Stegostoma tigrinum: one gene and its partner. The protein of the gene in region 1 interacts with the protein of each later gene in a pairwise test. Links are inferred from orthologs where the notes say so. Each region holds a gene or a part of one and is shown on either strand. Other genes may lie near its edges.

Region 1 (15,872 bases):
AGAACAATTCCAGCAACCTTGTACCAAAATCTCTTGTACCTGAAATTTACTGGATCTGTTGGGCTGAGTTAATTGTGATACTGTTAAACCAAAATCTTTGAAGTCAGGAACATCTTAAGGTACCCCACTCCAATTTATACAATTGTGCGTTGAAGTTTTTTTTACTGGAAAAGGAACCAGCGAAATGCTGTGGCGATTATTACCGACTTAGTCTTCTCATTACAATAAGATTTTTAAGGTTCTACCCTTCAGTTAGGAGCACCATTCCTTGGGATCACATGACAGGAGGTTGCATCTATCATTTTCATTAGTTTGAAATTGCTTACTGAGCACTTGTAATCTACCACTGTGTTCCATTCACACCTGAAAATGTACAGTTATCACCATTATCCACTGTCAGTTAATTCTTCATGAATCACTATGTCATGTAATAAGGTCCAGACAATTTAGCAGGGTATTAAAAGAGAATTAGATAAATACTTGAACAGAAGATATTTATGAGCAGTAATTGGATTGTTGTATCAAAGAGCTGATATATTGGCATAAAATGAGCAAAATGGCCAATCTATTGATGGCCATGACTAACAATGCCTTTCCCAACTTTGTCATCAAGGAGGCATGTCTTTTATTGCATCTGATTTCCAACAACTCTCTGTGATAAATTTTCCAATATTATTCCTAATTTAAACATGATAGTTTCTTTCCTTAAATCCTTCTAAGTTGCAATGCATTTTTTTCTCCCTTTCATTCAAAATCAAAATGCATGACGCTGACTCCTACATTTAACCTAATTTATTTGCCTCCAGGACTTTTGAATGAAATCTACATACTTTTGAACCCCAGTTTGCGATTACTGAATCGATGTTTTTTGATTTACTTGTCTTCCCTTCTACTATTCTCAATTTTACAGATAGTTTTAATAATAGAATATTAAGTTGAATCGGAATATAACATTTGGTCTTAATTCTCTTGAGTAATAGTGAAGATTGGAGATTCAGGCAGGATTTCCTCTCCTGATCACTATAGAGCCAGTTGAAGTTGAGATTGAGGCCACTTGACAGGTTAAACAATGTCCTGATGCATGCTGTCTGGCGCAGATGTAATAAATGGACATTTGGTTGAAATTATAGTCATGAGTCCCTGGTACTGTTCTGTAACTTTTTCAGCGGGTGGGGGGTCGGAAGGAAAGCTGATGGAAAATAAGAGAATGAATTTTAAAATTGCTGTAGAGCATTTTAATATTTTATGTTTTATGTGTTGACTTGTTTGAAACTTGGTCTGGTGCTAAAACCGAAGTGGGAAACTATTACTAGATCATTATTCTGGCGCAAGCTCATCTTTTCACTTCTCACAAGAATGAGCTACTCAAATGGCACATATTCACTCACTGGCCCCTTTCACCTTCACCTTATCTCTTGTGATTGACAAATATTATCTGTTTAATGATGGTATATAAACTGCTGATATTTGATTCCTGATTTTTATTTATGGCTGAGGTGGTTGTTTAATCAGGAAACTCACTTCTTCTCATCTCAGTATCCTATAAATATCATTCTTTAAAATTCATCAAGCATTTTTTTTTACTGTCAGAAGATTTTTGGGCCCTGTTATATTAGTTTTAAGGGATATTTTGAATTTAATGGATTTTTTAAAAGTGATTTTAGTATATACTATTTTGGTTTAGTAATTAGCTCCATGGGAAAATAATTATAATTTAGTTACAGGTAATATACAGTAATACTTAATGAGCCCACAATCTTCCATGCCTCAAAGGACAAGGGAAAATCACCAGCAAAGCATGTCACCTATAAACTCAACCCCAAATTGCACATTATTCTAACTTGGGACTGTTCCTTCATTGCTACTGGGTTGACATTCTGAGGTCTCTCACCTCACAGCATTTGGTGTGTGACCATGCCGCATGGACTGCAATGATTCACAAAAGCAGCTCACCAGAATTCTAAGGCAAGAAAGAATTGGTAAAAAAATGCCGACATAGTTTGGAACAATGTTTTAGACTTATTGAAAACAGGCCGGGTATTTCACGTTTGCATTGGGACGTGGTTTTGGCCCAGCAAGAACAGACAATGTTTCATGATTTTGATGTGGATGTTATATTTGCATTGGATTAAAAAGAAGTGCTCTAACCAATGAAAACTAAACTTAATAATTTGTATAAAAGTTATTCTGGACACTCCACCTTTTTGTGCTTTAGGTGTACCAGAGTTTGGGCCACATAGGCCATGGTTTTTAAATTGAAGCGAAGCAGGTAGCTCTCAGTCTGGATAGTGGTGGAGACATGAAAATTGACCTTGACAACTTGGCGTGGAGAGTGTGGTAAATCTGGGATGATTCTGCCTCCTACCTTCAGTAATTCCTTTTGGAATTTCACATGTGAACATGGATAAATAGAGCTCATGTTCTCTTTTTTTTCCTTAGATTACATATGGGTACTGTTGACATCTTGGATTAAATAGCTAACCCTTACCCTATTAACTGTCCAAACCTGCAGCTGGAAGGAAAGTCCTGATTTTTAGATATTGAAGTTTCATCATAGTGAATCTACAAACATCACTTGTTCCCAACGTTTCAATTTTTAAATTAAGCCAGCTTTCATTTCTGTTATATGCTTAATAAACATCCCTTACGAAATTAGCATTAGCCCAAACTCTGACCACAATCAGAGGCACAACCAGTTCACCATCTAAATTGATCACAGAGCAGCAGCAACAATATTATATTTAGAGTTACAAATATGTATGGTGATATGAGGTTATTATATTCCCAAATGGTATGATAAATTACTTTCTGGCTACAATATGATAGGATGCAACCAAATGTTGTAACATAATCATTCCAATAAATTCCATGTGCGTTCTTAACTTTCCTTTCCTCCAACTTGTGGCACCTGCCACCCACACTGCCACTGCATGTGCCACCAGCTGAGTGTCATTAGCACTCAGTTTCTCGAGTATCCACTTATCTTAAGGGACTGGGAGTGCTCGGCAAATTTGATACTTGAGAGGAAGCATCATAAAAATATTAAGCTGCCTGCTTGCAGAGTTGAAGACCCTGGCATCTTCTGATCTCAAACTAATTTGTGGTCTTTCCTCCAAACTCCTAGCAATGATTTTTAGAATTGTGCCCAATAAGTCTCTGCAATTTTTGAGTCTCACATTGGTTGTTGATTGAGAGCAGACAGTGGACTCAGTGATCCTAAATTAAGAGCACTTTTGGACTTGTTTACTTCTTCCATTTAGGAGCCTGTTTCAACAAAAATTGAATCAAGGAGAAGGGAACATAAAACAGATTTTCCACATTTAGTTGATATCTACTCCATACTGCCAGAATATGCAGATTTGTTGTCATTATCTTAAAATAAGGCAGCAACATCAATGTCAAATTTCCTGCTAGCAGGCTGAATACTTTCTTGTTGTAAAACGTTTCATGTGTATGTGAATTAATATACTTTGGCTTGTTGGAGAAGGCAACTAAATTTTATTTAAATTTGTTGGACATCTACTTGAGTACTGTGATTTGTAAAAGAAATGTTGATACTTTTGTGAACATGTGATTGTGAAGAAGATTTTTTTGAAGAGGTTTTGAAAATGGAAAGTGGATATATTTTCAAGTGTGGTGTTTTGCACTATGTACATTAGACCATTACAGCAAACAACAAGAGACACCGCTATGGGTATTTTCTATCAGCAGTTTAAAAACAAAATTAGGTCAAGTTATAAAGCCAATAGTCACTGCTTGGATTTGAAGCTTTTATTTTTAAGGAAACAACAGCTGCCTTTGTGTTTATTCCACTGCCTGATTGGAGAATAGGTGTTTCAATGAGTACATTCCATAGACACTGAATTTAAATTCAATGCATTTATGTGTACAGGTACATGTGTTTTCCCTTTTTCTGTTTGTCTGTGCGTGTGCGTGTGCATGTGTGTGTGCGTACGCACGTGCACATTGTTACAGAGAAGATGCCTTAAGTGTAAAAATATATCTTGTGGCCTTTTTTTAGATCTGTTTGTCCACTTACTGTTTGTGGTGTATGTGACTTGAACTTTTGCTTTCAAAAACACTGAAAATGGAAAATGTTTTATAAATACATATATTTAAAAATATCATGCTTTGATTTTTGTTTGTGCACACATTGAATCACCCTACTGAAATTCAAGTCATATGCTTTTTGAGAAAATCATAAATCATAGAATCCCTACAGGTATGGAGGCAGACCATTTGGCCAGTTGAGTCCACACTGCCCCTCTGAAAAGCATCCCACCCAGACCTACTCCCCAACCTATCCCCATAACCCAACATTCTCCCAGGCTAATCCATCTAGGCTGCACATCCCTTGACATGTTGGGCAGTTTAGCATGGCCGATTCGCCTAACCTGCACAGATTTCTGTAATTGCCAAATTTCACCTCTACTTTCTTTTTTCAGTTTCTTATTTTGGGGTTTTTGTTTCTCCTTGATTCTTTGCGATTTCTGGATCCTTCTCTCTCAATTCCTTCCAGTTTTGTTTTGAGGAATGGTAACATGCAGAATAAAATACTGCAGCTTTCTGTCCAACAGTCTAATCTGAGATAGTTCTGCCTGAAGCACAGTCTAGTAAGATAGATCTGGTATAGTAATACAACGGTTATGTTACTACGCTGATCAAGGAACAAAGAAAATTTCAGCACAGGAACAGGCCCTTTGGCCCCCCAAGCCTGCGCCAATCCAGATCCTCTATGTAAACCTGTCACCTATTTTCCAAGTATCTGTATCCCTCTGCTCCCTGCCCATTTATGTACCTGTGTAGATACATCTTAAATGACACTAGCGTGCCCACCTTTACCACCTCCGCTGGCAACGTGTTCCAGGCACCCACCACACTCTGCGTAAAGAACTTGCCACGCATATCTCCCTTAAACTTTTCCCCTCTCACCTTGAAATTGTGACCCCTAGTAATTGAGTCCCCCACTCTGTAAAAAAAAATCTTCTTGCTATCCACCTTGTCTATACCTCTCATGATTTTGTTGACCTCAATCAGGTCCCCCTTCAACCTCTGTCTTTCTAATGTAAATAATCCTAATCTAATTAACGTGTCTTCATAGCCAGTGCCCTCCTTATCAGGCAACATCCTGGTGAACCTCCTCTGCAGCCTGTCCAAATCATCCACATCCTTTTGGTAATGTGGCGACCAGAACTGTCCGCAGTATTCCAAATGTGCTTGAACCAAAGTGTCATTCAACTGCAACATGACTTGCCAACTCTTGTACTCAATAGCCCATCCAATGAATGAAAGCATGCCATGTGCCTTCTTGACCACTCTTGACCTGCGTAGTGACCTTCAGTGTACAATGGACCTGAACCCCAGATCTCTCTGTGCATCAGTTTTCCCCAGGGCTTTGCCATTTACCTTGTAGTTTGCTCTTGAATTGGATCCTACAAAATGCATTACCTCACATTTGCCTGGATTGAACTCCATCTGCTATTCCTCCACCCAAATCTCTAATCTGTCTGTATTTTGCTGCATTCTCCGACAGTCCCCTTCACTATCTGCTGTTCTACCAATCTTAGTGTCATCTGCAAACTTGCTAATCAGGCCATCTATACCTTCCTCCAGATCATTTATGTACATCACAAACAACAGTGGTCCCAACAGTGGAACACCACTGGTCACAGGTCTCCAATTTGAGAAACTCCTTTCCACTACAACTCTCTGTCTTCTGTTGCCCAGCCAATTCTCTATCCATCTAGCTAGTACATCTGGAACCCCATGCGACTTCACTTTCTCCATCAGCCTACCATGGGAAACCTTATCAAATGCCTTACTGAAGTCCATGTATATGACATCTACAGCCTTTCCCTCATCTATCAACTTTGTCATTTCCTCAAAGGATCCTATCAAGTTGGTAAGACATGACCTCCCTTGCACAAAAACAAGCTGCCTATCACTAATAAGCCCATTTTCTTCCAAATGTATATAGATCCTATCCCTCAGTATCTTCTCCAGCAGGTTCCCCACCATTGATGTCAGGCTCACCGGTCTATAATTACCTGGATTATCCTTGCTACCCTTCTTAAACAAGGGGACATCATTAGCAATTCTCCAGTCCTCCGGGACCTCACCCATGCTCAAGGATGCTGCAAAGATATCTGTTAAGGCCCCAGCTATTTCTTCTCTCGCTTCCCTCAGTAACCTGGGATAGATCCCATCCAGACTTGTCCACCCTCATGCCTTTTAGGACACCCAACACTTCCCTGCCTCTTTATGCTGACTTGGCCTGGAGTAATCAAACATCTGTCCCTAACCTCAACATCCATCACGCCAGTCTCTTCAGTGAATACTGACACAAAGTACTCATTAAGAATCTCACTCAATTTCCCTGACTACTCACATAACTTCCCTCCTTTGTCCTTGAGTGGGCCAACCCTTTCTTGAGTTACCCTCTTGCTCCTTATGTATGAATAAAAGGCTTTGGGGATTTTCCTTGACCGTGTTTGCTAAAGATATTTCATGACCCCTTTTAGCCCTCTTAATTCCTTGTTTTAGATTGGTCCTGATTCTTCCAAAGTTTCGTCTGTTTTCAGGCGTCTAAACCCCACCTCTTCCTCCGTTACATTGATGACTGTATCGACGCCGATACATGCTCCCAAGAGGAGCTCGAACAGTTCATCCATTTCACCAACACCTTCCACCCCAACCTCAAGTTCACCTGGACCATCTCTAACACATCCCTCACCTTCCTGGACCTTTCTGTCTCCATCTCAAGCAACCACCTACAAACCGATGTCCATTTCAAGCCCACCGACTCTCACAGCTACCTGGAATACACCACCTCCCCCCACCTTCCTGCAAAAATTCCATCCTCTATTCCCAATTCCTTTGCCTCTGCCGCATCTGCTCCCAGGATGAGGCATTCCACTCCTGCACATCCCTGATGTCCTCATTTGTCAAGGACCCCAACTCTTTCCCCCCCCCCCCCCCCCCCGCGGTGGTCAAGAACGCCCTCGACCGTGTCTCCTGCATTTCCCACACCTCACACCCCGCCCTCGCAATAACCGCCAAAAGAGAATACCCCTAGTTCTCTCATACCACCCCACCAACCTCCAGATACAACGCATCATCCTCCGAACCTTGTGCTATCTACAATCCGACCCCACCACTAAAGACATCTTTCCATCCCCACCCTTGTCTGCCTTCCAGCGAGACCACTCTCTCCGCGACTCCCTTGTCCGCTCCACACTCCCCTCCAACCCCACCACACCAGGCACTTTCCCCTGCAGCCACAGGAAGTGCTACACCTGCCCCCACACCACCTCCCTCACCCTCATCCCAGGCCCCAAGATGACTTTCCACGTCAATCAGAATTTCACCTCCATATCCGCCAATGTGTTATACAGCATTTGCCGTACCTGGCGTGGCTACCTCTACATAGGGGAAACCAAGCAGAGACTTGGGGACCGCTTTGCAGAACACCTATGCTCGGTTCACAGTAAACAACTGCACCTCCCAGTCGCAAACCATTTCAACTACCCCTCACATTCCTTAGATGACATGTCCATCCAGAGCCTCCAGCAGTGCCATAATGATGCCACCCATAGGTTGCAGGAACAGCAACTCATATTCCGCTTGGGAACCCTGCAGCCCAATGGTATCAATGTGGATTTCATCAGTTTCAAAATCCTCCCCCCACCCCCCCCCCCCCACCCCCGCCGCTGCATCCCAAAACCAGCCCAGCTCGTCCCTGCCTACCTAACCTGTTCTTCCTCTCACCTATCCCCTACTCCCACCTCAAGCCGCACCTCCATTTCCTACCTACTCATGCCATCCCGCCCCCTTGACCTGTCCGTCCTCCCCAGACTGACCTATCTCCTCTCCCTCCCCACCCTTACTCTCCTCTCCATCTATCTTCTCTATCCATCTTCGGTCCACCTCCCCCTCTCTCCCTATTTATTTCAGAATCCTCTTCCCATCCCCTTTTCTGATGAAGGGTCTAGCTCGAAACGTTAGCTTTTGTGCTCCTGAGATGCTGCTTGGCCTGCTGTGTTCATCCAGCCCCACACTTTGTTATCTTAGACCTTATGTATGCTTCCTTCTTCCTCTTTGCTAGTCTTACAATTTCACCTGTCATCCATGGTTCCCTAATCTTGCTCTTTCTATCCCTTCTTCAGACTCTTCTTCAGAAGAAGGGTGTAGGCCCGAAACGTCAGCTTTCCTGCTCCTCTGATGCTGTGTGGCCTGCTGCGTTCATCCAGCTCTATACCTTGTTATCTCAAATTGTCCACCATCTGCAGTTCCTACTGACTCTGATCATTCAGAGACTTAGGTTGGTCAAAACATCAATGCTAACTGTATTATGATAATTTGCAAATTTAAATTCAGTTATTCTGAAAAGAAATATGGAAGTAAAAAGCTGTTATCAGCTAAAATGACTAATCAAAACTCAACTAGTTCTAAGCTATTCTTAAAAGGATTAAGTTTTGATACATGAAATGCAAGACATAGAAGTAGAAGTTAGACTTTCAGCCCCTCAAGTCTGCTCCACCATTCCATGATTTTTTTTAAGTACAACTATGCGTGGACATTGCGCACACAATACAGGGAACCACATCACCTTTCACGCTAGTGTTGTTGTAAAACAGTTTATAAATAAAATGTATATGCAGCTGAAATGAGCAACCGGGTTATCAAATGGAAAGATGAAAACTTGACCATGAAATGAAAATCAAACCTACCCCTATCCATGGGAGTGGTCCTGTTTCTCTACTGGTTAATTTCGTTTTCTATGTGTTGCAATCTCTGCACAAAACAAATAATATCATGAGGCACTGATCGCTTGAGGTCTGAAATAAAGGTATAGTACTAATAACGATCATGCTTATCAGTCATTCAAACTGAAGCAGATGAAATGAAAGGAGTTGCATTTATGTGTTACATTTCACGACATCAGTTTCTCTACACTGCTAAGTATTTGCAAGCGTACGCCGTAAGAAATAGAAGCTAATTTGCGCAATGTACAAGGAAAATGGTTAAGCAATATATGCTGGCAGGATATCCTGTTCTTTCACTCGTGCTGTGGGACGTTTAGATCGTGAAGGGCTGAGACCTTAAAATTAGATTTGCATTGCTGAAAGACCAGAACTCTCGGGCATCATATGTCCTGAGTCTGTGGTGTGAATTTAAAAATCGTTACATTCTGACCGATTTGAGGACGCTACCCCTTGCTTTAAGATTGAGAGCACGAGTTTTCCAGTGGCCTGTCTATATGAATATGTCTGCTAATTGCTGAGCTGATCAGAAGCGCAGAAGTATTTACATGTCACCGTGGAATCAAACTTAAACCTGTTATTTTTAAGTGCGATACGTTTGTTCAAAAGGACATATTCACATAGGGAGTGAATAAATGATGGGAATTTCGAGATCATTGGACTTAGCTAGCTGAACAGGAGCAGGCTCTGATAATGCTAGCTTTCCTGCTCCTCTGATGCTGCTTGGCCTGCTGTGTTCACCCAGCTCCACTCCTTGTTATCTCAGATTCTCCAGCAGCTGTAGTCCCTACTAGTTCTTTCCCTAAGTTGTTTGAGTCTAGTTCGTCCCCCAGCAGTGACGAACACACACCTGAAATTAAGGCGAAGGCTGCAGGAGGCGGGCCGAGGCCATGGGGTGGGGCAGCCAGATGTGGTGGGCGGGGCAGGGGCCGGGCCGTTGGTGGGGGTGGGGTCTGAGCCGGCAGAGGTGGGCGGGGACGATCCGCCTCACGTGTCGACGGCCAGCTGTTGCCGTTGCCGCGCTTCGCGTTTCCCCAGCGACAGTGGCCTTAGCAACTGCTGCCCTCGTGCGCTCGTAAATCACAAAGAAATTCTGAAATAAAGCGAGTCCAATGGAATCGGCTTTAATTACAAACTGAAGTGAGATCCGCGCTGAATCCGGACCCGGAAAATATGGGGTTTAGCTGCTCTGGGCCCTACACCGTCTGGTCACCTTGGGAACTGTTTCCATGGTGATGGCGGCCCGGCGTCTGGGAGATGGTGTTGTTGGAGCCTCCTGCGGGAGATAGAGAGTGAGGGAGAGAGAGAAAACATCGGGGACAGTAAGTCGTGATCATTTCACTCAGTTTATAGACAGAGTTTGCAGCTGTCCCTTTGCAGCCACTCCAGGCCTCAATGTGGTCAATACGACTTCTCCCGTACCTCATTTTCCTTTTTGCCGTTGACTATAATCGGCCGGAGGGGAAAGTGGGATTTTTGGCTTGGTCTCCATATGCCGTAAAACCACTTGTGCTGACAAGGGGTTGCAGGCATACACCAGGCGAGAGAATGAGGACCCTGGCTTCCTTGGTGACACTGGGTATGTTGGGCTGACCTAAATCAAGAATAGCCGTCCCCTAACCATCAAAACCGCCACTACCCAGGCGAGGTGCTGGGAAAGTCTATACAGCCCCCATAAGGATCAAAGTCTTAGAATGAAAAAAAAATTGCATAATGTTCCTTTCACCCCACAACAAACACAAACAAAACAACCATTGAAATATTTTTAAAGTACAGCCATTGATGTGATCCAGAAAACATAGGCACCCAAAAGTTCCACAAAAATAAATCAGATTATCGTTTTACTCGCAAATTGATTGAGGGATAAGTATTGGTCACAGTACCAAGCAACGCCTCCCTAGAATGCCGGAGGATCTTTTATTTTCTTGTGAGTAGATGGTGCCTCACTTTGGCATCTCAGCAGGTAGCCGGATTGCATGGAAGTGAAGCATCCCCTCAATTGTACCCAAAATGATGCGCCAAGTCCCTGGAGTGGTCTTAAACTCAAGCCAGCATCTGACATAGAACTGAATGCAATGACTAAGCAAACGCTAACATCTCAAAAAGGGCGTATCTACTTTTTCGAAAGTTGGAAGAAAACCTTGATAAAATTCCTAGCCGCGGTATTGATGTTTAGCAGGTTTAAAATTCCATTCCAGATAAAGTCTGATCCAGAGTAAGAACCTTGGTGAGGAATTGAGAGACACTACAATTCAAATGAACGTTTCCTGAGCTTGGATGGAGAAAACAAAGTGCATTCTTATTCCTGGTCCTGATTACTATGCAGCAACTAATACCGGAGAGAGACTGTGTATGAATGCCAGTCTGCCTTCTATGGTTCAATGACTTACTAGTGTAGTTCAAGTTTGTATGTTAACATTTTCAGCATTATTATTCATTGAGATATGCAGACATGATAGGAACACAGCAGAGAATAAAACTCACATTTATAAGCAACTTAGAACTGGGTAATGGAGACAGACAAAGTCTGCTTTATCTCAATGGCAATGCTCTGTTCAATCAAAATCTACCTGCCTGGTCTGGAAATAGCAGTGATGGTTAACTGTTCTTACTGCCTCTCCATGCCAATGGTGGCCCAACTAATCAGCATCCCCACTTGTGCTATGTGAAATGGTATTGTTTTTGTTAAGTTTGTTTCTTGTAACCTAGCTCTGATGGTTGCAAGACAGAATGCTCCAATACCTAATTACCTTAGCAGGATATTGCTTGGTATGGAGGACATTAGCTATGAGGAGAGGTTGGAAAAACTTGGATAACAAGATGTAGAGCTGGACGAACACACCAGGCCAAGCAGCATCAGAGGAGCAGGAAAGCTGACGTTGTGGGCCCGACCCTTTTTCTGAAGAAGGGTCTAGGCCCAAAAAGTCAGCTTTCCTGCTCCTCTGATGCTGCTCGGCCTGCTGTGTTCATCCAGCTCTACACCTTGTTATCTCAGATTCTCCAGCATCTGCAGTTCCTACTATATCTGAGAAACTTAGGTTGTTCTCACTGGAATGATGGAGGTTGAGGGGGCACCGGATAGAGTTCTACAAGATTATGAAGGGCATGGACAATTTGGACAGTCAGAAGTTTTTTCCCAGGATGGAAGAGTCAGTTACCAGGGGCCATGGTTTAAGCTGTGAGTGGCAAGGCTTAAAGGTGATGTATGAGGCAAGTTTTTTACACAAAGGGTGGTGGGTGCCTGGAACTCACTGCTGGGGGAGGTGGTGGAAGCAGATACTACAGTGACTTTAAGGGGCGTCTTTACAAATATATGAATAAGATGGGAATAGAGAGATACGGTTCCCATAAGGGTATGGGCTTTTTGTTGTGATGGGCAGCATGTCGGTGCAGCTTGGAGTGCTGAATGGGCTTATTCCTGTACTGTATTTTTTTTTGTTCTTTGTTCTAATCTCCTTTTAGCAATTTTTAACTTCCTGAGACTTCCTTGCTAGCCAGAATAGTTTCCTCTCTCTTAACCATATTTGGTCCCTTTCATATCTTGTAAAATTTGATCAACTCAGCGTAACTTTTTAAGTTTCAGGAGATATGATCGTAGCTTATGTAAACTTCCCTCATAATTTAAAACAAAAGGCTTTTCAGAAAAAATAAAACTCCTTTATGGTCACTACATTGATATGAAGATGTGTTATTTGAAGTATAAATTTAAAATCTAATTGAACTTAGCGAAGGTGATGGCCATGTGTTTTTATGGCTGGACTGCTAATTCAGAGACCCAGGTAATGTCCCAGGGACCGTGGTTCAAATCCTGCCATGGCAGATGGTAGAACTTGAATTCAATGAAAATCTGGAATTAATAGTCTAATGATGACAATGAATCCATTGCTAATTGTTGAAAAGAATACCTTTAAAGCTAAGGAGACTGGCCGCAGCACAAAGAAAGGTTGCATTTGCAAAGAACAGAAGCTGCTCAACTGAAGTCAATAAGCCGACAACACTTCTGGAGATATCACATGACACAGTTTGTAGATCCAAATGAAACTATTGGATTTTAACACGAAAATGCAAGATAAGCTCTCCCAAACGCAACAGCCTTTGCCCTCTTTCTCCTCCTTGAAATCATTGTTGTCAGAGTTTGAGAGTTGAAAATTCACTGGAAGATTTCATCCCTCTAAATGGAGGTTTCCAAAAGGAGACTTGGAAATCTACATCACCGTCTGCATTAAAATATTATTAGCCAGTCATAGCTGGTCCAGGAAGACATTCCAGTGCCAAAACACTTGGCAGTGTTTAATACTTTGCTGTCAAAATTGGAGGTTGTGTATTGTAATTTGAAAGAAGGACAGTTGTGTATATTTTTGCATTTCTAACCACTTGTTAATAATCTTTACATCTATGTTTGAGCAAGTTTGGTTTCCCATAAATTAGTTATTTGTTTATTACTTAAGGAACCTGGCTGACTTGTTTCTTGTACTGAATTACAATTGACAATATTCCCTCCTTTTTAAATTTAAATTTTATTTTGACCAGTACAGGAGCGGGACAAGGAAAGGAATCAGTTCACCCTTCCTAACTTGACTTAACAAAGTATTTGAATGGTGTGACATCTAGATTTGCTTACTTGACCCTAGGTATGGCCTAATCATTGCTTTATGCAGCTAAAGCTGCATTGTGGTCCTTTAGATATAAAGGACAGAAATCCATTAGCCTTTTAAAATATTCTTCACACCCATGCTAATTTTACTTATCTCTTTACTTACACTATTTTAAACTTTCCCTCATTTAGTAAATACCCTTTTTAGCTAAAAGTGGATGAAGTCTCATGTACATTGAAATCCATTTGGCACTGTTTTGCTAATTCCATTGATCTATGAGTATCTTATATTTTTAGGCATTCATTTACCCTGCTTAAAGTGCCACTTACCATTTGGATTAATTTTGATATGTGAATTTCTATCGTATCATTTTGAAAAAAAAAGGATCACTTGACATTTTATGGTCTAACTATTCTTCATTGCAGTTTTAGTTGAAGATGAGCAGCAAAAGCAGTGGTGTGAAGGTGTTCGCCAGAGTCAGAACAACAACTAATTTTGCATCAGATATGATTGAGTTTTTACCTGACAATCAGGTAAGAAAGACCATTACAGAAGACTCTCCTGTATGTTTTATTTATATTGAGAAATCACAGTGAAGAGTTGATGTCTTCAGAGCCTCTAACAACTCCTAATGGAAGATGAACATCACATCACCATATCATCACCCATTCTTCCTGGTCAACTGGCTGTCTAAAAAATTTAGACTCATTTTCAGTCTTAGGAGAATTAACTATCTACTGTGACATGAACAACTGCATATATTGCTTGTTGACATCTTCTGTTGCTGACCACAATATATATACTATAATTAAAACTTGAGGATTGCAACATGTCTTTTAGTTAGAAATTGAAGGATTATTTTCAAGGACACAGAAATTGCTGGACAAGAGAAGGTCCACACTTCATGTACTACCATCACGGTAGCCCCCTGATGCTAATATAATGCATTTCTTGATTAAATCAGAAATCAGACAACACAAGGTTATAGTTCAACAGGAACAAAAACAGAAATTGCTGGAAAAGCTCAGCAGGCCTGGCAGCATCTATGAAGAAAAAATCTGGGTTAACATTTCAGGTCCGGTGACCCTTCCTCAGAACATTTTTCTTCACAGATGCTGCCAGACCAGCTGAGCTTTTCCAGCAACTTTTGTTTTTGTTCTTGACTTACAGCATCTGCAGATCTTTTGGGTTTTTTAAAATAGCCCAACAGATTTATTTGAAATCACGGGCTTTCGGAGCATAGCACCTTCCTCAGGTGAAGTGAGAAAGAAGCTCCAAGAAACAAAATTTATGGGCAGAGAGATCAAAGGCAGATAGATCAAACGATCATACAAATGGTGTGAGTGGAGGGTTGAATAATACGTCTCTGCTGGTGATCACATGTCAGACGATGTGAGTAAAGTGCCAACAGTTAAATAACAAGTGAAGGGATGACATATAATCCGATTAAGTGAGGCATGGAGTTAATTATAAAAGCTTAAAAATAAGTTGATGTTGGAGACAAACCAAATGACAGGAATAACATGATAGGTATAAGAGTTGCATGCCGAGGGTCTAACCAAAGTAATAAGTAATCCAACACTGTACAAACTAATTAAGGTAGAGAGACCATAACAATTTGTCAAGGTGACGGAGTCATAATAGTACAGTAGGGAAGATTTTACAGATATAGAACAGTGTGGTGGGGTTGCATGTAGCGTGACATGAACACACAATCACGGTTGAGGCCAACTTCATGTGTACGGAACTTGGCTATCAATTTCTGCTCGGCAATTCTGTGTTGTGTATCTCAAAAGTTACCTCAGTGGACGTTTACCCAAATGTTGAAGGCTGAATATTCTTGACTGTTGAAATGTTCAACTGGCAGGGAATATTCCTGTCTGGTGATTGTTGCGCAGTGTCCATTAATCTGTTGTCCTGGCATCTGCATGGTCACGCCAATATACTCTGCCTCAGGGCATTCAATCCTGTAGCGTATGAGATAGGCAACATTGCCCAAGTCACATGAGTATCTGCCGTGTACGTGATGGGTGATATTCTCATGTGTGATGGTAGTATCCATGCCAATGATCTGTCATGTTTTGCAGAGCTTGCCATGGCAGCGTTGTGTAGCGTTGTGGTCAATGTTGTCCTGAAGGCTGGGTAGTTTGCTGCGAACAATAGTCACTTTAAGGTTTGGCGGTTGTTTGAAGGTATAGGGATGATCTTGGCGAGATGCTTATCATCATCAATAATGTGTTGAAGGCTGCAAAGAACATGGTGCCATCTCTCCACTCTGCGAAAGTACTGAATGATGCACTGTATTCTATTGATCGTACCCTGAATCTGTCTTCTGAGGAGGGCTTTGCGGTTTTTCACTGTGGCACATCAGAACTGGTGATCAATGATTTGAGCATCAAATCCCATTCTTATGATGGCGTCCTTCAAAATCTTGAGGTGCCCATTCCATTCCTCCTCATTACCTATTAGAAGATAAAGTGAGTGCACTCAAAGGTGCCCTGGCTCCTGCATGCGT
Region 2 (15,756 bases), on another chromosome or scaffold:
CTTCAGGAAGTTCATTCCACACACGAACCACTCTCACTTTTGTTTAAAATCTTTCTCCTCTCACCTTAAGAATTTGTCCCCTAGTCTTGAAATCCCCCATCCTCGGGGAAAGAAAACTACTATTAACTCAACCGATGCCTCTCATTATCTTATAAACATCTAATAGGTCACCCTGAAAACTCCTACACTCCAGTGAAAAATGTCCCAGCCTATCCAGCCTTTTTTTCTAACTCAAACCTTCCATACCCTCTCCAACTTAATATCCTACCGATAACAGGATGACCAGAATTGAACACAATACTCCAGAAGAGGCCTCACGAACGCCCTGTAAAACGTCAACCATAGCATCCCAACTCCTGTACTCAAAGGACTCAGCAATGAAGGAAAGCATACCAAATCCCTTTATGACCTCCCTATTTATGTATGATGCAATCTTCAAAGGAAGTATCTGTACCCCTAGGTCCCTCTGTTGTACAGCACTACCCAAGGCCCTACTATTAATTGTATAAGCCCAAACCTTGTTTGTTGTACTAAAACGCAATACCTTGCATTTAACCAGATTGAACTCCATTTGCCATTTTCCAGCCCATTGACCCATTTGATCAAGATCCCTTTGTAAGTCTTAGAAAACCTTCTTTACTGTCTACAATGCCACCACTTCTGGTGTCATCAGCAAACTTACTAGCCATGCCTTCTATATTCTCATCCAAATCATTTGTACAAATGACAAACATGATGACCCAGAACCAATCCCTTTTTCCTTCAGTTCAATGCTATCCTTAAGTTAACCACAGAGCGTGGGTCCTCAAGTTTGATTTTATCCTTGATCGTAGGGATATATTTATTGTAGGTATTCTGAAACACCCCATTCAATGTCTGCCACTGCTTTTCTAGTGACCTACTCCCGAGCACAATATCCCCACTCATTTTAGCTCGCTCAGCTTCCACACCTCATAGTTGCCATTTTTTAAGTTTACAACACCAGTCTTGGACACATGCTTGTTGCTTTCAAACTGGATATCAAATTCAATCACATTATGATCACTGCTATCTACAGCTGCCTTTGCTCTGACATTATTCATCAATCTCATCAAAAAGCACAATACCAGGCCAGGCATTGCATGCCCTCTTGTTTGTTAAAGTATGTGTTACTCTAAAAAAAATTTTGAAAGCATACTCTGCACTGCTCAACCAGGCTACAACTGCCAAGCTGACGTTTCCAGCTTATAAATCACCCATAATTATTGCTGTTCCTTATCACAGGCTATCAATATTTCTTGTATGCTTTCTCCCACATTGTGATTACTGTTAGAGGGCATGTAGACCACTCCTTTATTTAGGATCAAGCTAACCGGCCTCCTGTTTTCTGTCTCCATCCTTTGTGAAATGAAGTGACTAATTTTCCTTACGATTCCTCATTTTCTTCAAATTGACTCTACATCCTGATCTCCTGAACCAAGATCATCTCTATTATACCAGTGCCATTCTTGTGTAACAGAGTTACCCACCCACAGACCCCAGCCCTTACCAAGGTTCCCATCCTTCTTTAATATCATGTCTCTCAATATTGAGAACACAAGCCTTGTATCCAAATTTCCATAATAGCTATCAGATCATCCTTATTTAATTCAATGTGTGCAATCAATTCAGTTACTTTGTTTCAAATGCTATGTGAAGTCAGATGCAGAGCATTTAGATTTAAACAAAAATCTGTAGCATTCAGTCCTGACCACTGGTACATTCTTGATAACAAAGTGTGGGGCTGGATGAACACAGCAGGCCAAGCAGCATATTAGGAGCACAAAAGCTGATGTTTCGGGCCTAGACCCTTCATCAGAAAGGCACGATGACTCCATTCTGCTCTTCCCATTGCAAGCTCTTCAGCCTGTACAGATATCCTAGACCCTGTTACTAAGCACACAACACAACCATCTATACACTTTTCTTTGCTGCCAAGAAGTGTCAATCCCTCTCACTATATTGCCCTCTTTAATCATAACATTCCTTCTTCCTCTACCACTTAAACAGTTTCATTTATCATGGTGCCATGGCCAGTTATCTCATCCACCCTGAGGTCCCCACTCTCAACCAAACAGGCTGGGAAGCCTGGACAATTGTAAAGGTTGGGGCTTACGCTTTTCGGATCCCATTTCTTCCTCACTTGCAGTCATTCTCTCCTGTCTCTGACCACTATTCAGTCAGAAGTGCTCATCTTAAGGGATGTGACTGCCTCTGGGAATAAAGTGTCCAGATAAATTTCTCTTTCCCTAACTTGCCATAGTGTCTGCGACTCAGTGATTCTCAGCCAAAGTTCCTGCAGCATCCCAGTGCTTACTACAAGGGTGTGCACCCTGGATTAGACCAGAATCCCCAAGTTCCCACATTCTGCAATTGTAGCACATCAGCTGTATCCTTGTAAATTAGCTCCGCACTCTCACCAGCACAATCTGCAACACCGTCCTTCCTGTAAATGTGGTGAGCTGAATTGTATACAATTCAAAGTACTTTATAACCAATATAGTACTTTTGAAACAAAGTCATTGTTGCAAAATAGGAAAATGCAGCAACCATTTCATGTACGGTAATATCTCACAAACAACGTAGAAAAAGACCAGTTCATTGGCCTAGAACAGGGCTTAAACTGACAATTGTCTGGCTGAGCGGCAAGAGTGCTAACATTGAACAATGTGAACAATGTGATCAATTACTTCTGAAGTGGAATCACTTATTTGGGAATCATGTGCAGTAATTCTCACGAACAGTGTGAGGTGAATCTTTTTTCTTAATATTGATTCCAGGACAAAAAGTGGGCAATTGTAGAAAATTGCCTGTTTTTGAATAATACCTTAGGTTCTTTAGTGTGACATACACATCTTTATATTCATGTACACTGTAATACACAGTGACCTGTATACTGTCATGTACACAGCAACTATATACTAGAGTACACATGCTGACTGCTTTATCCTGTAATACACAGCCAACTGTATGCTGTAACATATACAGCCAACTATATACCATATCACACACCCAACTGTATGCTGTAAGCCAACTATATACTGGTAACATACATAGCCACATGTATACTGTAATCTACACAGACTGTAATGTACAGTCAACTGTACTGTAATATGCACACAAACTAATATACACTGCCATCTATATACTGTAATACACAGCCAACTGTTTACTATAATAGACACAACTAACTATATGCTGTAAAACACACAGCCACATGGATACTTAAATATACATAAGATAGCCAACTATACTATAATGTGCACACACACAGGCAACTATGTGCTTTATTACACACACAAACCAACTGTATACAGTAATGTGCAAAGCTAACTACAATAGGGCCAACTGTATACTATGATATACTCCCAGCCATCAGTATACTGTAATATGCATGCCCAGCCATACGTTTAGTGTAATATACCCACAGCTTACTACGTACAGTGATGCACATACACAGGGAACTGTATACTGTAATTCATACATAACCAACTATATGATCGAATGCTGCAGGAGACTTTTTGGGTTGAATGGCTTATTTCTGCCCCTATAATTTATGGTCTAATGTACAATAATACACACACACATAGCCAACTGTATACTGTGATACAAACACAATCCACTGTATATTGCAATATATGCCCACACAGCCAAACAATCATGAATGCATAAAGAAAAATAAACAGCACTTTGTTATGTTTTATAAATAAATAGTGTTCATTTCGACAATTCAACAAAATATCAAATTTGGTACAATTTAAAACACCAACAGCGTGACACACTTCTTTGGCCTGCTTGATACATAAAATATTATATGTCCATTTGGATATGGTAAGTGTTCTGTAACAACGCACCTCTTGGGGTTTTAGACCTCTCCCATAACACTTTCACAGTACACAAGAAAGGACAGGTTTAGTACTGGTTTTATCTCATTGTTGATACAGTGTTCAGAGCTCAATCAAACAATTTTAGAAAAGAGTCATTCGTTTCAGAAAGCTCAAAACTGTATGTGACTGAAAATTGATTGATCTATTAATATTTTCTGCAAGGGTTTGCAAAGGTACAAAGTTGCAATGGTACTTTGTGATGAACCAGTAAAGAAATTGCAAAAACACAAGTTAGCCAGCATTTAAAATTAAAAGTTGATGCTTCAAGTAAGATCCCTGTGATCCAACTGACATAGGATTTTCCAAAACAGTGACTTGTGTCTTATTTTCTTTCGAAATAGAACGTGGTCCTTTTCCTTTTCACAAGGATACTGAGGCTAACACTGACAGCAATCAGCTAAAACAGCACAAAGCAGTAATTAGTTTAGTTACCACTTGGGCTGCATGAATGCACCAGAAAATGTTTCAAGTGAGAGTCAATTTACTTTGCATGAACACTAACTCAGAGTAGGCAACTAGTAATTTACCATGAGAAACACCAGTGCAAAAATTCACATACAAGTTACATTGGAGCGACAAACCAAACAAAGTTTGTTCATTAAGTTATTAAAATTCTTAAGTATACATGCACGAATGGCAACTCAAAAGCAGCAACCATTCTGAATTAATTTATTTTTGTCCCACATTCATCAATCCAGCAAGTCAATGACATTTTAGGGCTGTATGTTTCTTCCTGACTTGCCCATTCCTTCCTTTGGCTCTCTGCATGGGTTAATTGAGTTAAGGCAATTTTTTCACAATGAGTCATTCAAAGAACAACTGAATCGTTTTGGAAAACAAACAGCAAAAACGTTTAACTGTTCAGGCACTTATGGGTCCATTTGGGTGCAAGCAGCGATAAAGTGTTACTCAAAGGAAGAGAAATCCTCCCCCATTTTAAATACTTTTGTTTTCTTTCCACTATCTCCAATCTCGTAAACCAAGGATACCCGGAGATGTCGTGGATTATCTACAGCTGGAGTTAAAGTTATTTTTCCTTTTATCACAGTATCCTGGAACACTTGCACAGGTTCATCCAGATAAAGCAAGGCCTGTTTCCAATGAGTTTCCTCTGCAAAAGGTGAGGTCGACAAAACAACTGGCTCAGATTCATCAGTGTTGGCATCAAATGTAACAGGGTTAGTTTCATTACTGAGATCAAATTCACAGAGATTGTCACCATTGGCTGTGACGGCAAAGCGGCTCTCAACAGTTCCATTGCTGATGTGTGCACTGGTTACACGGGATGTAAAGGCTTTGGCAGTGGACGCACGATGACCATTGTTGCTGGTTGCACACTGACTGTCAGCACGGGGACTGGTCCCTTGATGGCCATAAGAACAGCCACTGGTTGCATGCTGACCATCAGCACCACCACTGGTCATATGTTGTGCTTCATCAGGGCCACTAGTTGAACGTTGACCATCGTCGTGGTCACTGGTCGAGCGCTGACCATCGTCGTGGCCACTGGTGGCATGGACACCGCTTGGCCCACCATCGGTGTGGTCCGTGGGGGCGGACGTCGGGAAGATGACAGAAAACCAGATGGCGAAGGCATGCATGGTGGCGATGCCGAAGGCCGGGACCGAGAAGAGGCCGCCTAGCTCCTCGAGCTGCTGCTCGGTGACGGTGTAGAGGTCAACGGCGGCGAACATGGTGGGCCGGGCCAGGACGTCCTCGCCGTGCAGGCCGGTCACCACCATCTCGTCGGTCATGAGGCAGCGGCGGGCGAAGGCGGCCATGCAGGCCATGTCGACGCCGTGCTGCTCCTTGACTCCGTCCCAGAAGGAAAGGCGCTCGTGCAGGGCCGGGTCACTGACCGGGGCGATGTAGAGCTCGGCTCGGCACGGGAAGAGCAGGCCGCCCGGTTTGAGCCATCGGTCCCGGGCGTGCAGCACGCTGCGGAGCATCGACTCGTACATGAGGCCGTAGCCCATCCACTCGCTGACGATGGCGTCCACCCTCTCGGGCAGCTCGGCTTCCTCCACCCGGCCCCTCAGCACCCACACGCGGCCGCTCAGCCCGTTCGCCTCGACGACCTCGCGGGCGCGCTCCGCCATCACCGCGCTCGCCTCCGCCGCGTACACGCGCGCCGCTCCCGCCTGCGCGCAGAAGACGCTCAGGATGCCCGTGCCCGCGCCCACGTCCAGCACCGTGCGGTCCCGCAGCAGGCTCACTCGAGCCCGGGGCTCGAGCCCGGCCGCAGGCCGCAGGCCTCCCTGTAGGGCCCGGCGGTAGCAACCGGTCCGCGCCGAGTCCGCGATCATCTCCTCGTGGATCGACACGTCCGAGTACGAGTGGAAATAGGCTCCGTCCTGGCGGGCCCGGGCCTCGGGACCTGGCCCCCCGCTCCGCCGGGCCTCGGGCTCGGCCTCCAGCCGCGGCCTCTTCGCCTGATGCGGACCCGGCTCCATTTAGTTTCCGCTGGGTCCAGGCCTCATGGCGTTTCTAGGGCCCTCGGCTTGGGCCTGTCCAGCGCTGCCTGCCCCGGGAGCTGAAGTCTCGAACGCCGCGGAGAGCCACAGCCCGGGGCCGCCCCCTTCCATACCTGCCGGCCCCACCCCCTTCTCCCTCACACGCAGCAGCTGCCTGGGGGTGGGCTCGGGGCTGTCTGTCAGTCACCGAGGGCGCAGGGGTCTGTCTGTCTGTCAGTCAGTCACCGAGAGGGGAGGGGTCTGTCTGTCAGTCAGTCACCGAGAGGGGAGGGGTCTGTCTGTCAGTCTGTCACCGAGAGGGGAGGGGTCTGTCTGTCAGTCACCGAGAGGGCAGGGGTCTGTCTGTCTGACATCGAGAGGGCAGGGGTCTGTCTGACATCGAGAGGGCAGGGATCTGTCTGTCTGTCAGTCACCGAGAGAGGAGGGGTCTGTTTGTCTGTCACTGAGAGGGCCGGGGTCTGTCTGTCTGTCACCGAGTGGGGAGGGGTCGGTCTGTCTGTCTGTCCGTCAGTCACCGAGAGGGCAGGGGTCTGTCTGTCCGTCAGTCACCGAGAGGGCAGGGGTCTGTCTGTCTGACATCGAGAGGGCAGGGGTCTGTCTGTCTGTCAGTCACCGAGAGGGCAGGGATCTGTCTGTCTGTCAGTCACCGAGAGGGGAGGGGTCTGTCTGTCTGTCACCGAGAGGGGAGGGCTCTGTCTCCCACCGAGAGGGCAGGGGTCTGTCTGTCTGTCACTGAGAGGGCAGGGGTCTGTCTGTCTGTCTGTCACCGAGAGGGAAGGGGTCTGTCTGTCTGGTTGTCACCGAGAGGGAAGGGGTCTGTCTGTCTGGTTGTCACCGAGAGGGAAGGGGTCTGTCTGTCAGTCACCGGGAGGGCAGGGGTCAGTCAGTCAGTGAGAGGGCAGGGGTCTGTCAGTCACCGAGAGGGGAGGGGTCTGTCTGTCTGTCACCGAGAGGGGAGCGGTCTGTCTGTCCGTCAGTCACCGAGAGGGGAGGGCTCTGTCTCCCACCAAGAGGGCAGGGGTCTGTCTGTCAGTCACTGAGAGGGCAGGGGTCTATTTGCCTGTCACCGTGAGGGCAGGGGTCTGTCTGGCTGTCACCGAGAGGGCAGGGGTCTGTGTGACACGGAGAGGGCAGGGCTCTGTCGGTCACCGAGAGGGCAGGGGTCTGTCTGTCTGGTTGTCACCGAGAGGGAAGGGGTCTGTCTGTCAGTCACCGAGAGGGCAGGGGTTTGTCAGTCAGTCACTGAGAGGGCAGGGATCTGTCTGTCAGTCCCCGAGAGGGCAGGAGCCTTTCTGTCAGTCAGTCACTGAGAGGGCAGGGGTCTGTCTATCTGTCACCAAGAGGGCAGGGGCCTGTCAGTCACGGAGAGGGCCGGGGTCTGTCTGACTGTCTGTCACCGAGAGGGCAGGGGTCTGTCTGTCTGTCACTCAACGAAAGGGCCGGGTTATGTCAGTCAGTCACCGAGAGGGCAGGGGTCTGTCTGACATCGAGAGGGCAGGTGTCTGTCTGTCTGTCAGTCACCGAGAGGGCAGGGGTCTATTTGCCTGTCACCGAGAGGGCAGGGGTCTATTTGCCTGTCACCGTGAGGGCAGGGGTCTGTCTGGCTGTCACCGAGAGGGCAGGGGTCTGTGTGACACGGAGAGGGCAGGGCTCTGTCGGTCTGTCAGTCACCGAGAGGGCAGGGCTCTGTCGGTCTGTCAGTCACCGAGAGGGCAGGGGTCTGTCTGTCTGTCGCCGAGAGGGCAGGTGTCTGTCTGTCTGTCAGTCACCGAGAGGGCAGGGGTCTATCTGCCTGTCACCGTGAGGGCAGGGGTCTGTCTGTCAGTCACTGAGAGGGCAGGGGTCTGTCTGTCTGTTTGACACCGAGAGGGCAGGGGTCTGTCTGTCTGTCACCGTGAGGGCAGGGGTCTGTCTGTCTGTCACCGTGAGGGCAGGGGTCTGTCTGTCAGTCACCGAGAAGGCTGGGGTCTGTCAGTCACCGGAGGGCAGCGGTCTGTCAGTGACCGAGAGGGCAGCGGTCTGTCTGTCAGTGACCGAGAGGGCAGCGGTCTGTCAGTCAGTGACCGAGAGGGCAGCGGTCTGTCAGTCAGTGACCGAGAGGGCAGCGGTCTGTCAGTCAGTCACCGAGAGGGCAGCGGTCTGTCAGTCACCGAGCGAGCAGGGGTCTGTCAGTCACCGAGCAGGCAGGGATCTGTCTGTCAGTCACCGAGAGGGCAGGGGTCTGTCAGTCACCGAGAGGGCAGGAGTCTGTCTGTCTGTCAACGAAAGGGCAGCCATCAGTCTCTTTGTCAGTCACCGAGAGAGCAGGGGTCTGTCAGTCACCGAGCAGGCAGAGATCTGTCTGTCAGTCACCGAGAGGGCAGGGGCCTTTCTGTCAGTCAGTCACTGAGAGGGCAACGGCCTTTCTGTCAGTTAGTCACCGAAAGGGCAGCCGTCTGTCTGTCTGTCAGTCACCGAGAGGGCAGGGGTCTGTCAGTCCCCGAGAGGGCAGGGGTCTGTGTCTGTCGCCATGAGGGCAGCGGTCTGTTTGTCACCGAGAGGGCAGGGGTCTGTGTCTGTCGCCATGAGGGCAGCGGTCTGTCTGTCACCGAGAGGGCAAGTGTCTGTCTGTCTGTCAGTCACCGAGAGGGCAGGGGCCTTTCTGTCTGTCAGTCACCAAGAGATCAGGGGCCTGTCTGTCTGTCAGTCACCGAGAGGGCAGGTGTCTGTCTGTCTGTTTGACACCGAGAGGGCAGGGGTCTGTCTGTCAGTCACCGTGAGGGCAGGGGTCTGTCTGTCAGTCACCGAGAGGGCAGGGGTCTGTCAGTCAGTCACCGAGAGGGCAGCGGTCTGTCAGTCACCGAGAGGGCAGCGGTCTGTCAGTCACCGAGAGGGCAGCGGTCTGTCAATCACTGAGAGGGCAGCGGTCTGTCTGTCTGTCAGTGACCGAGAGGGCAGCGGTCTGTCAGTCACGGAGAGGGCAGCGGTCTGTCTGTCAGTCACCGAGAGGGCAGCGGTCTGTCAGTCACCGAGAGAGCAGGGGTCTGTCAGTCACCGAGCAGGCAGGGATCTGTCTGTCAGTCACCGAGAGGGCAGCGGTCTGTCAGTCACCGAGAAGGCAGGGATCTGTCTGTCAGTCACCGAGAGGGCAGGGGCCTGTCAGTCACCGAGAGGGCAGGGGTCTGTCAGTCACCGAGAGGGCAGGGGTCTGTCTGTCTGTCAACACGAGGGCAGGGGCCTGTCTGTCTGTCAGTCACCGAGAGGGCAGGGGTCTGTCAGTCACCGAGAGTGCAAAGGTCTGTCTGTCTCTCACTGAGAGGGCAGGAGTCTGTCTGTCTGTTTGTCAACGAAAGGGCAGCCATCAGTCTGTCTGTCAGTCAACGAGAGGGCAGGGGTCTGTCAGTTAGTCACTGAGAGGGCAGCGGTCTGTCAGTCACCGAGAGGGCAGGGGTCTGTCTGTCTGTCAGTCACCGAGAGGGCAGGGGTCTGTCTGTCTGTCAACACGAGGGCAGGGGCCTGTCTGTCTGTCAGTCACCGAGAGGGCAGGGGTCTGTCTGTCTGTTTGTCACTGAAAGGGCAGCATTCTGTCACTGAACGAGAGGGCCCGGGGTCTGTCAGTCTGTCACTGAGAGGGCAGGGGCCTGTCTGTCTGTTTGTCACTCAATGAGAGGCCCGGGGTCTGTCAGTCTGTCACTGAGAGGGCAGGGGTCTGTCAGTCACCGAGAGGTCACGGGTCTGTCTGTCTGTCTGTCACCGAGAGGGCAGGGGTCTGTCAGTCACCGAGAGGGCAGCGGTCTGTCTGTCTGTCACCGAGAGGGCAGGGGTCTGTCTGTCACCAAGAGGGCAGGGGTCTGTCTGTCACTGAGAGGACAGGGGTCTGTCTGTCTCTCACCGAGAGGGCAGGGGTCTGTCTGTCACTGAGAGGACAGGGGTCTGTCTGTCTGTCAATGACCGAGAGGGCAGAGCCCTGTCTGTCACCGAGAGGGCAGCGGTCTGTCTGTCTGTCACTGAGAGGGCAGGAGTCTGTCAGTCACGGAGAGGGCAGGGGTCTGTCTGACAGTCTGTCACCGAGAGGGCAGGGATCTGTCTGTCTGTGAGTCACCGAGAGGGGAGGGGTCTGTCTGTCTGTCACCGAGAGGGCAGGGGTCTGTTTGTCTGTCACTGAGAGGGCCGGGGTCTGTCTGTCTGTCTGTCCGTCAGTCACCGAGAGGGCAGGAGTCTGTCTGTCTCCCACCGAGAGGGGAGGGCTCTGTCTCCCACCGAGAGGGCAGGGCTCTGTCTCCCACCGAGAGGGCAGGGGTCTGTCTGTCTGTCACTGAGAGGGCCGGGGTCTGTCTGTCTCCCACCGAGAGGGCAGGGGTCTGTCTGTCAGTCACTGAGAGGGCAGGGGTCTGTCTGTCTCCCACCGAGAGGGCAGGGGTCTGTCTGTCAGTCACTGAGAGGGCAGGGGTCTATTTGCCTGTCACCGTGAGGGCAGGGGTCTGTCTGGCTGTCACCGAGAGGGCAGGGGTCTGTCGGTCACCGAGAGGGCAGGGGTCTGTCTGTCTGTCACCAAGAGGGCAGGGGCCTGTCTGTCACCGAGAGGGCAGGGGTCTGTCTGTCTGGTTGTCACCGAGAGGGAAGGGGTCTGTCTGTCAGTCACCGGGAGGGCAGGGGTCAGTCAGTCACCGAGAGGGCAGCGGTCTGTCTGTCTGTCAGTCACCGAGAGGGCAGGGGTTTGTCAGTCAGTCACTGAGAGGGCAGGGATCTGTCTGTCAGTCCCCGAGAGGGCAGGAGCCTTTCTGTCAGTCAGTCACTGAGAGGGCAGGGGTCTGTCTATCTGTCACCGAGAGGGCAGGGGGTCTGTATGTCTGTCACTCAACGAGAGGGCCGGGTTATGTCAGTCAGTCACCGAGAGGGCAGGGGTCTGTCAGTCACCAAGAGGGCAGGGGTCTGTCTGTCTGTCTGTCTGTCACCGAGAGGGCAGAGGTCTCTCTGTCTGTAACTGAGAGGGCAGGGCTCTGTCTCTCTGTCAGTCACCGAGAGGGCAGGGGTCTGTCTGACACCGAGAGGGCAGGGGTCTGTCTGACACCGAGAGGGCAGGGGTCTGTCTGACACCGAGAGGGCAGGGGTCTGTCTGACACCGAGAGGGCAGGGGTCTGTCTGACACCGAGAGGGCAGGTGTCTGTCTGACATCGAGAGGGCAGGGCTCTGTCCGTCTGTCAGTCACCGAGAGGGCAGGGCTCTGTCCGTCTGTCAGTCACCGAGAGGGCAGGGGTCTGTCTGTCTGTCACCAAGAGGGCAGGGGCCTGTCTGTCTGTCGGTCACCGAGAGGGCAGGGGTCTATTTGCCTGTCACCGAGAGGGCAGGGGTCTGTCTGTCGCCGAGAGGGGAGGGGTCTGTCTGTCTGTCAGTCACCGAGAGGGCAGGGGTCTGTCTGTCTGTCACCGAGAGGGCAGGGGTCTGTCTGACACCGAGAGGGCAGGGGTCTGTCTGACACCGAGAGGGCAGGGGTCTGTCTGTCTGTCTGACACCGAGAGGGCAGGGGTCTGTCTGACACCGAGAGGGCAGGTGTCTGTCTGTCTGTTTGACACCGAGAGGGCAGGGGTCTGTCTGTCAGTCACCGTGAGGGCAGGGGTCTGTCTGTCAGTCACCGTGAGGGCAGGGGTCTGTCTGTCAGTCACCGAGAGGGCAGGGGTCTGTCTGTCAGTCACCGAGAGGGCAGGGGTCTGTCAGTCAGTCACCGAGAAGGCTGGGGTCTGTCAGTCACCGAGAGGGCAGCGGTCTGTCAGTCACCGAGAGGGCAGCGGTCTGTCAGTCACCGAGAGGGCAGCGGTCTGTCAGTCACCGAGAGGGCAGCGGTCTGTCAATCACTGAGAGGGCAGCGGTCTGTCTGTCTGTCAGTGACCGAGAGGGCAGCGGTCTGTCAGTCAGTCACCGAGAGGGCAGCGGTCTGTCAGTCAGTCACCGAGAGGGCAGCGGTCTGTCAGTCACCGAGAGGGCAGCGGTCTGTCTGTCTGTCAACGAAAGGGCAGCCATCAGTCTCTCTGTCAGTCACCGAGAGAGCAGGGGTCTGTCAGTCACCGAGCAGGCAGGGATCTGTCTGTCAGTCACCGAGAGGGCAGGGGCCTTTCTGTCAGTCAGTCACTGAGAGGGCAACGGCCTTTCTGTCAGTCACCGAGAGGGCAGGGGTCTGTCAGTCCCCGAGAGGGCAGGGGTCTGTTTGTCTGTCACTGAGAGGGCCGGGGTCTGTCTGTCTGTCTGTCCGTCAGTCACCGAGAGGGCAGGAGTCTGTCTGTCTGTCACCAAGAGGGCCGGGGTCTGTCTGTCTGTCTGTCCGTCAGTCACCGAGAGGGCAGGAGTCTGTCTGTCTCCCACCGAGAGGGCAGGGCTCTGTCTCCCACCGAGAGGGCAGGGCTCTGTCTCCCACCGAGAGGGCAGGGCTCTGTCTCCCACCGAGAGGGCAGGGCTCTGTCTCCCACCGAGAGGGCAGGGCTCTGTCTCCCACCGAGAGGGCAGGGCTCTGTCTCCCACCGAGAGGGCAGGGCTCTGTCTCCCACCGAGAGGGCAGGGCTCTGTCTCCCACCGAGAGGGCAGGGCTCTGTCTCCCACCGAGAGGGCAGGGCTCTGTCTCCCACCGAGAGGGCAGGGCTCTGTCTCCCACCGAGAGGGCAGGGCTCTGTCTGTCTGTCACCGAGAGGGCCGGGCTCTGTCTCCCACCGAGAGGGCAGGGCTCTGTCTGTCTGTCACCGAGAGGGCCGGGCTCTGTCTGTCTGTCACCGAGAGGGCCGGGGTCTGTCTCCCACCGAGAGGGCAGGGCTCTGTCTGTCTGTCACCGAGAGGGCCGGGCTCTGTCTGTCTGTCACCGAGAGGGCCGGGGTCTGTCTGTCTGTCACCGAGAGGGCCGGGGTCTGTCTCCCACCGAGAGGGCAGGGCTCTGTCTGTCTGTCACCGAGAGGGCCGGGCTCTGTCTCCCACCGAGAGGGCAGGGCTCTGTCTGTCTGTCACCGAGAGGGCCGGGCTCTGTCTGTCTGTCACCGAGAGGGCCGGGGTCTGTCTCCCACCGAGAGGGCAGGGCTCTGTCTGTCTGTCACCGAGAGGGCCGGGCTCTGTCTGTCTGTCACCGAGAGGGCCGGGGTCTGTCTCCCACCGAGAGGGCCGGGCTCTGTCTGTCTGTCACCGAGAGGGCCGGGGTCTGTCTCCCACCGAGAGGGCAGGGCTCTGTCTGTCTGTCACCGAGAGGGCAGGGCTCTGTCTGTCTGTCACCGAGAGGGCAGGGCTCTGTCTGTCTGTCACCGAGAGGGCCGGGGTCTGTCTGTCTGTCACCGAGAGGGCCGGGGTCTGTCTCCCACCGAGAGGGCAGGGCTCTGTCTGTCTGTCACCGAGAGGGCCGGGGTCTGTCTCCCACCGAGAGGGCAGGGCTCTGTCTGTCTGTCACCGAGAGGGCCGGGGTCTGTCTCCCACCGAGAGGGCAGGGGTCTGTCTGTCTGTCACCGAGAGGGCCGGGGTCTGTCTCCCACCGAGAGGGCAGGGGTCTGTCTGTCACCGAGAGGGCCGGGGTCTGTCTCCCACCGAGAGGGCAGGGGTCTGTCTGTCTGTCACCGAGAGGGCCGGGGTCTGTCTCCCACCGAGAGGGCAGGGGTCTGTCTGTCTGTCACCGAGAGGGCCGGGGTCTGTCTCCCACCGAGAGGGCAGGGGTCTGTCTGTCTGTCACCGAGAGGGCCGGGGTCTGTCTCCCACCGAGAGGGCAGGGGTCTGTCTGTCTGTCACCGAGAGGGCCGGGGTCTGTCTCCCACCGAGAGGGCCGGGGTCTGTCTGTCTCCCACCGAGAGGGCCGGGCTCTGTCTCCCACCGAGAGGGCAGGGCTCTGTCTCCCACCGAGAGGGCAGGGCTCTGTCTCCCACCGAGAGGGCAGGGCTCTGTCTCCCACCGAGAGGGCAGGGCTCTGTCTGTCTCCCACCGAGAGGGCCGGGGTCTGTCTGTCTGTCACCGAGAGGGCCGGGGTCTGTCTCCCACCGAGAGGGCAGGGGTCTGTCTGTCAGTCACTGAGAGGGCAGGGGTCTATTTGCCTGTCACCGAGAGGGCCGGGGTCTGTCTCCCACCGAGAGGGCAGGGGTCTGTCTGTCAGTCACTGAGAGGGCAGGGGTCTATTTGCCTGTCACCGTGAGGGCAGGGGTCTGTCTGGCTGTCACCGAGAGGGCAGGGGTCTGTGTGACACGGAGAGGGCAGGGCTCTGTCGGTCACCGAGAGGGCAGGGGTCTGTCTGTCTGGTTGTCACCGAGAGGGAAGGGGTCTGTCTGTCAGTCACCGGGAGGGCAGGGGTCAGTCAGTCACCGAGAGGGCAGCGGTCTGTCTGTCTGTCAGTCACCGGGAGGGCAGGGGTCAGTCAGTCACTGAGAGGGCAGGGGTCTGTCAGTCACCGAGAGGGCAGCGGTCTGTCTGTCTGTCAGTCACCGGGAGGGCAGGGGCCAGTCAGTCACCGAGAGGGCAGCGGTCTGTCTGTCTGTCAGTCACCGAGAGGGCAGGGGTTTGTCAGTCAGTCACTGAGAGGGCAGGGATCTGTCTGTCAGTCCCCGAGAGGGCAGGAGCCTTTCTGTCAGTCAGTCACTGAGAGGGCAGGGGTCTGTCTATCTGTCACCGAGAGGGCAGGGGGTCTGTCTGTCTGTCACTCAACGAGAGGGCCGGGTTATGTCAGTCAGTCACCGAGAGGGCAGGGGTCTGTCAGTCACCAAGAGGGCAGGGGTCTGTCTGTCTGTAACTGAGAGGGCAGGGCTCTGTCTCTCTGTCAGTCACCGAGAGGGCAGGGGTCTGTCTGACATCGAGAGGGCAGGTGTCTGTCAGTCACCGAGAGGGCAGGGTCTATTTGCCTGTCACCGAGAGGGCAGGGGTCTGTCTGTCAGTCACCGAGAGGGCAGGGGTCTGTCTGGCTGTCACCGAGAGGGCAGGGGTCTGTGTGACACGGAGAGGGCAGGGCTCTGTCGGTCTGTCAGTCACCGAGAGGGCAGGGCTCTGTCGGTCTGTCTGTCGCCGAGAGGGCAGGGCTCTGTCGGTCTGTCTGTCGCCGAGAGCGGAGGGGTCTGTCTGTCTGTCAGTCACCGAGAGGGCAGGGGTCTGTCTGTCTGTCACCGAGAGGGGAGGGGTCTGTCTGACACCGAGAGGGCAGGTGTCTGTCTGACATCGAGAGGGCAGGTGTCTGTCTGTCTGTTTGACACCGAGAGGGCAGGGGTCTGTCTGTCTGTCACTGAGAGGGCAGGGGTCTGTCTGTCTGTCACTGAGAGGGCAGGGGTCTGTCAGTCACCGAGAGGTCACGGGTCTGTCTGTCTGTCACCGAGAGGGCAGGGGTCTGTCAGTCACTGAGAGGGCAGCGGTCTGTCAGTCACTGAGAGGGCAGCGGTCTGTCTGTCTGTCAGTGACCGAGA

The links.
Region 2: the proteins of kif9 (region 1) and prmt6 interact in a two-hybrid assay, tested with the Homo sapiens proteins (2 studies listed by BioGRID and IntAct). The link is inferred for Stegostoma tigrinum from reciprocal best matches to the Homo sapiens genes KIF9 and PRMT6.

Annotation. Positions count from the first base shown.
Region 1 is NC_081358.1:95,687,606-95,703,477, reverse strand, and holds the start of kif9 (kinesin-like protein KIF9), read left to right. Parts: upstream 1-9,769; 5' UTR 9,770-10,084; intron 10,085-13,782; 5' UTR 13,783-13,794; coding exon 13,795-13,890; intron 13,891-15,872. UniProt on the Homo sapiens protein: Essential for normal male fertility and for progressive motility of spermatozoa.
Region 2 is NC_081380.1:4,860,389-4,876,144, forward strand, and holds prmt6 (protein arginine N-methyltransferase 6), read right to left. Parts: upstream 6,605-15,756; 5' UTR 6,359-6,604; coding exon 4,811-6,358; 3' UTR 4,668-4,810; coding exon of another isoform or gene 4,608-4,667; 3' UTR 3,548-4,607; downstream 1-3,547. UniProt on the Homo sapiens protein: Arginine methyltransferase that can catalyze the formation of both omega-N monomethylarginine (MMA) and asymmetrical dimethylarginine (aDMA), with a strong preference for the formation of aDMA.